2 linked regions of the Nothobranchius furzeri genome follow. The protein of the gene in region 1 purifies or fractionates together with the protein of each later gene. This does not show direct contact. Links are inferred from orthologs where the notes say so. Each region holds a gene or a part of one and is shown in the gene's direction. Other genes may lie near its edges.

Region 1 (4,250 bases):
CTACACATAATTGATGACTTAAATATCACTGCCAATCCTCCACCACGCCCCGAGGGTCTCGGAACACTAAAATATGTAAAATCATCCAGGAGAAGCTCCACAAAAGCAGCAGTTTCATCTTTAGGGACCCAGGATTCAGTAACACACAGGAACTCCAGACCATTTGTTTCAATAAAATCCTTCAGAATAAAAGTCTTATTCATAATAGATCTGGCGTTAGACAGAGCAAACCTGATGACGGAAGAAGATGCTGTTACAGTCAATTCTTCTGGATTCACTGGCGAGGGCTCTGCTGATTCACATATCACCTCAAGTAGATTTTGTCGGTGAATTCCTCTCCCGCACGCTCGCCGCTGTGGTGCAGGGCGCCGCGACTGTATCATCCCGCCGCCGCACACCACCGATACCAATCTGGAAGCCGCCAGATTCAACGGCACCGGATCCAACTGGTGCTCCGGCGACCCACCGTCCCCCTCTGAGCCCACAACTCCACACACAGCATCCAACGTTCCACGTCGAGCCGATCTCAGCTTCATCCAGCATCCGGCACGCTTCCCCCGTCTCCGGCGCCTCCTCCATCAAGGTAAGGTTGCCACGTAGCACACGCAGCCCAAAGAACCATCCAGTAGTGGCGATCCATTCTGACCAAAACCTCCAGAGAACGATAAGCCCTCAGCTGCTTGGCGAATCCCGAGCAAGGTTTTACGATCATACACCCGGATAGAACTGCTAAATTTCAAGGAAAGAAAAACTAACATGAAGCAGAAAAAAAGCTTCAGGAGCAATAGACGAGCTGCCACACACACCGGCGCCATCTTTCAAAAAAAAAAGAAAAAACATGTCGTCACTGGTCACTTTAAAGAGTGGAGTAACTGAAGCAGTCCTGCAGACATGCACCAGTTTGTATGGACAGGTTAAACAGATGGGTAAGTGCAGCAATAACACGTGCTGCTATTTCAGAAGGAAAGGATCCAGAGTATCCAGTCCAGCTGATTTATGAGGATCTAACCCGAGTACCTCGTTTACCTGAAACACCTGAACGGAGAAACAGGAACTGGGTGTGGAGAGGGAATCATTGCTTAGCTGAGTCGAGGTCAGAGACCCCGGAGACGAGTGAAGCTGTTGCAAAGACATGGCTGGACTTGATAAAGATTACTGAAGGAATTTACCATTTTAGTTTTCTCTGAGACAGCAATGCCCTCTGATTAGACTGCATTTGGCAGGTGTGAGGACTTGTTGGTGTTTTCCAGTCTTTACAGTCTGCCAGAACCTTTTGGGTCAGAGCTACTCATAGATGGTATCCTGTGGAGAGTACAGTGGTCCTGACCCAGACTTGGACCCATCAGGACTCTGACAGGGACAGGGCTTCCTATCTGCTCCACGAGACGTCATGACCCCCTCCCTCCTCCCCCCGCTCAGGGCGGGGCCTCGTCGCGCTGCAGCTCCATCCCGTTCACCGACACCGACCTCCTGCTAGTCTTCAGCCCCCGGAATGGACCCTAGAGTCCGGCCCATCTCCAGTCCGTCTCAGCAGGCTCGGTTCGGTTGAGGAAGATGTAGATGAAGCGAAACCATTGGAGCGGATCGCAACCTCACAACGGTTCGGGTCGCGGAGCATCGCCCGATGCAGAAGAAGGACCGTCTTTGTTTGGATGCAGCAGACTGAGATCCAGCAGGCCGGACTCTAGAGACCCCAAGACCCGGACCCGCATCATGCTGGTCCCGCTGCTCCTCACCGGGATCCTGCTCGCCTCCGTCCAGGTGAGGACACGCAGGGTTCGGTCAGAAACCGCCTCGTGTGTGTGTGTGTGTGTGTGTGTGTGTGTGTGTGGACCCGCCGGTTCGGCCCGCAGGCAGCCAGCAGCTCGTTGGTTCCGTAGGAAGTGGGTCAGTCGGCCGCAGCCTGACTGGATCCTGCAGGTTCGTCAGCATCACTGAACATCACACAGGCGTGCACGCGCACCACATCCATACCGGCCTGTTTTCTGCCTCATCAGAACCGGATGTTGGTTCTGATGTGTCTGTTGATGATGGTCGGGCTGAACTCTGGCCTCTGACCGGATCCATCAGAACGCTGTGGTTCTGAGACCCGTGGATTCTGGTTCTGGCCCAGTCCAGCTCTGAGCAGCAGCTGTCAGATTGTTTTTGTTTATTTATGATTCAGGAAGGAAACAGGCCTCCGCTCAGTGATGGGACTTCACTCACCTGGAGAAGTTGGATTTTTCTTGCTGCATCAATGCAGCACAAATAAAAGCGTTTCTGATTCAGGGTTTACCTCCCGCCCATGGACGTAATTTTGGGGGGGGACAGGGGGGACATGTCCCCCCCACTTTTTCCAAAGTCAAGTTTTGACCCCTGCGCTTTTTACCATCCAAAAACAATATTACTTTATATTAAATTGACACTGGTTGAGCTTTAGGACCAAGCAGAAAACAACCGTTTGTGTTGAAGCCTGTTTCCCATTAGAACATACCGTAAAGATACCCCACCCCCACCCCCCCGTGTCCCCCCCCACTTCTAAAGTGAAAATTACCCGCCCCGGTTAAACGTGGTAACCTAGCAACAACTAAAGGAAAGGCAGGTATGAGAACAACAATCATCTCAACACGACACAGCAACGGGTCTGTGGGGGGTGGGGGTGTCCTCCTGGTCCTCCTCCCTGAGGGGGACCAGATCAGCTGAAGGGATTGCTTCAATCATCCTTTTTGATCAGAAGCAACAACAATATTTTAAGAAAGTTTAAAGTTTTATACACTTTATGGATTGATGCTAACAGATGATGTGGTCCTGTTGGCTTCATCAGAACGTGATCTTCAGCTTTCGCTGGAGCGGTTCGCAGCCGAGTGTGAAGCAGCTGGGATGAGAATCAGCTTCTCTAGATCTGAGACCATGGTCTTGGGTCAGAAAAGGGTAGAATGCCTTCTCCGGGTCAGGGATGAGGTCCTGCCCCAAGTGGAGGAGTTTAAGTATCTCGGGGTCTTGTTCACGAGTGAGGGAAAGCTGGAGTGTGAGATCGATAGGTGGATTGGTGCTGCATCTGCAGTGATGCGGGTGTTGTACCGGTCTGTCGTGGTGAAGAGAGAGCTGAGCCAGAAGGCGAAGCTCTCGATTTATCGGTCAATCTACGTTCCTACCCTCACCTATGGTCATGAGCTTTGGGTAGTGACCGAAAGAACGAGATCACGGCTACAGGTCATCTGGGAGGGGCTCGGAGTAGAGCCGCTGCCCCTCCACAGCGAGAGGAGCCAGTTGAGGTGGCTCAGGCATCTGGTCAGAATGGTAAATGGGTTTTTTTTGTATAGCTTCTTAGGGTTCTACAACCCCCCAAGATGCCTCACAACACAATCAGCCACTCACCCATGCACACACACACTTTCACCCTGGTGATGATGAACTACAATCACCTCAAGAAGCCTGCAGACGTGTTTACGTCAGCTCCTTCTTTTGTGCTCTAATTCCTCTCAAAACCAGTTTCTATCCTTTCACCAATTTCTGGATTCGGAGGCAGCTCAGCTAAAGCTCTGCAACCTTGAAGTTGTCTTGAACGTCTGTCCTCCCTCTCCTTCCGCCCCACAACGACGGCTTGATGCTTTCTAAAGCAAAGACGAGGATTCAGATGCTAAAGAGGATGTACGACGACTCTCTGCTGGATAGTTTCAGATCTCGTCTTCCTTCACTGACCCAGACCTTATCAGTCCGTCTGAAAAAGAAACGTCCAATCAGAACTCTCTGCTCCACCACACCACTGTTTGGGATCCTGCTGCACCACGACTACCCACTTCCAGCTCTGCTCCTGACCCTTTTTCATCTTGGCCACAGGTTGTGGTACGTGGCCGTAGGAGAGCCCCCCCCCCCCCCCCCCCCTGACCTCAGTCTTTCTAACCGCTTCTCTCCACTTGCTGAGGAACGACCAGCTGATACCTCCAGGCTCCCTCTCAACCATCTGATGCCATCCAGCAGGAGTCTGTAGTCCGTAAGAAGCAACCTCCACAGCCTCCTCCCCCCCAGACCTAAACCTCTTCTGGCCGACGCAGAATACTGAAGGATGCTGTGCATCGACACTCCGCTGGACCACCTGCCCTGGCTCAGGGAGTAACATTTAAAAGACCCATGCTGAGTTAAAAGCCAAATCATAAACGTAGGTTTTCAAAAGAGATTTAAAACCAGACAGTGTAGAGACCGACCTAATGCTCGAAGGCAGCTCATCCCAGAGCCTAGGGGCTGCTACAGAGAAAGCCCCGTCACCGCTG
Region 2 (2,621 bases), on another chromosome or scaffold:
ATTCTTATTAATTCTAAGCACAGATTAATCAAAACATTTCATTTAACCATATGGTCAATTTCATTATATGATTAGTTACCGTAACTCATATGAGCTGAAAATGTTCACTTTTATTCGGAGGCAAGAGGAATCCTGTAGAAGCGATAAGAGAACGCTTAAGGCCTTGAAACAGGAACAGTTTTGTTGACTATATGTTATCTTGCGTTCTCACCAGTATCAGCTGATGGAGGGCTCAAGTTTCGTTGCGCCGTTCGTGTCAGCGGACACGGTAGGGTCGGGGAGGGGTGTGGGGCATGACGCTTAGCCTGGCGGGTTGGTAAGCAAAGCCTGGGGGAAACCCTGATATATGTGTATCTATAAAACCCACCACCACTTAAATAATAAATGTAAAACACTGTCTTAGCTCTATTAACCGGCTACAGGTGCCCATTCATGAATAAGAGTTGCTTGTAGCTGTAATCATGGGAGTAGGTGGAGGGGTTTTATGTGCAATACTTTTTTTGCCTCTAGATGGTGCCTCTGAGAAAAAAATTCTGGATTTCTGCTTTAGGGATCCCAACTGTGATCCACTTCTAGCATATTTTAGAGGTTTCTCTGCTTCAACGCACCTGACTTTAGTCAGCAGGTGGTTAACAGGCTCCCAGAGAGCTGGATGACCTGTTGAACAGGTAATTCAACAGCTGAATCGGGTTTGTTGGAGCAGCAAATCAAATCAAATTTTGGACAGGAAGCACCAGGGTTGGAGAGCCTGATCCCTTGTGTTGATGAAAACTACAGTATGGGTAGACCAAGGTATGGCCCAGTGCCATAGCATGGTCAAGCTGGGCCCGGGTGCATGTTACGCTTTAGGCCCTCACACCCGCGCACCGCCCTTAGGCATACGTTTACCAAATACTAATGTGAATACTCAGATCAATCTGGGTGTGGTAGGGTTTGTGGAGGGTATTTATAAATGCTATGCATTTTTTTTGTTGCAGATTTGAAATGATCATCTTTTGTTTCCACAAACAATGCAACAGAACATCAGCAGACAAAGAAAAACCACTGATATGTAGCTTTATTACTAGATTTAGCTAAAAACGGGACATTTGCGTCTTGGCCCAATATTGTCCTTAAAGAGCAAGTCACCCCCTACCAGATTCTTACTCAACTCCCACTTCCTGTTTGAAAAATGCAACACATGCTGTTGCCTAGCAGACCGAGAGGGCGGAGCCGCTAACAAATACACACACACACAGGCTCACGACAGCATTGTGACATCATAATGTACCAGTTTACATCATAGCATACCTCTTAGCCAATAGCGATGGCAGATTTAAATTAAAATACAGTGCAGAGTTTTTACCTGACAACGGCACAACACTGACAGTTTTAGACAGAATATTTAAATTTTAACTAAGATGCACTGAAGTGTCAAATTATTGACGACACGTGTCTGCAGCACGATTAGACACTCGTTTATTTAGTTTATCAGCAAAAAAAAGTTTGTTTGGGGGTGACTTGCTCTTTAAGCTCCAGTTTTTGTGGTAGGGGCCCACTCTGGGCCCACCAGGGCTCTTGTCCAGTGCATTTACTGACTGGTGGAACATGTGTACCTGTGCATGGTTTATATTTGAAGGAAGCCCTGTCTGGTGAGGATGCTAGTGTATTTGTTCAGTAGGTGGCAGTATAGGCTACAATCCACATGACACAACATACTGGATTTAAAAAAAAGGATTAAATATTTTAATGTCTGCAAATCCCAAGGATGTGTGTTCTCTAGCAGCAGAAACCGATCTTGCACACAGTTGGGTGTATCTTATTTGCTGCATCAGAACTCATCTACAAATGTTTCCTTTTCCAAGAAAAATAAACTACTTGAAACATCTTAGTACTTTTTAAATGTACACTTTCCCCTCAATATGCAGATTTCCTGACTCTAAACACCATTGTTGATATTAGGACAAGGCTTTTGGAAAGTTAACTTTCATTATTTGAGCAGAACAGACCAAATTCTACACAAATTTGTTGAATTACAAATCTACAAAAGAGCCAAAAGGTCACAAAACTGTGTTTAGGATAGTTTTCCTCCAAACACAGAAGCGTAGTGGAACACAGTCACCACAGATGGTAGCTGTTGTGTGGACTACCTGTCCTCTGTATTTACTCACTGGTATTGCTCCTCTCCATGCGAAGCTTCTTTGGAGACTTTGGCTTCATGTTCGGAGGCAACCGGCAGCAACAGGACAAGAACATCCCCAGAGGAAATGACATAATACTTGATCTGGAGGTCACGCTTGAGGAGGTGTACTCGGGGAACTTTGTGGAGGTACTCCTAATTGACTTGTTGTTTTAAACTTCAGAGCCTTCTAGTTTTGTGTCTTGTTTTCTGAATATTTGCTGAACTGCTTTGTTGTGCAGGTTGTGCGTAACAAGCCTGTAGCCAAAGAAGCTCCTGGTAAAAGAAAGTGTAACTGCAGACAGGAGATGAAGACCACACAGCTGGGACCGGGACGCTTCCAGATGACTCAGGAGACCGTGTGCGACGAGTGTCCCAACGTAAAGTGAGTCTCAGTCCAGATGTTTACCATCCATGTTTTGATCCCTATTCAGTAGAAAAACATACACAACTATAAAGGATG

What was found. Proteins that work in one complex are often made in the same cells at the same time.
Region 2: the proteins of ptpro (region 1) and dnajb11 purify together in Homo sapiens (affinity purification with mass spectrometry; 3 studies listed by BioGRID and IntAct, with this or other methods). This does not show direct contact. The link is inferred for Nothobranchius furzeri from reciprocal best matches to the Homo sapiens genes PTPRO and DNAJB11.

What each region holds. Positions count from the first base shown.
Region 1 is NC_091741.1:32,996,982-33,001,231, forward strand, and holds the start of ptpro (receptor-type tyrosine-protein phosphatase O), read left to right. Parts: upstream 1-1,423; 5' UTR 1,424-1,560; coding exon 1,561-1,761; intron 1,762-4,250.
Region 2 is NC_091754.1:36,587,054-36,589,674, reverse strand, and holds part of dnajb11 (dnaJ homolog subfamily B member 11), read left to right. Parts: intron 1-2,175; coding exon 2,176-2,308; intron 2,309-2,400; coding exon 2,401-2,543; intron 2,544-2,621. UniProt on the Homo sapiens protein: As a co-chaperone for HSPA5 it is required for proper folding, trafficking or degradation of proteins.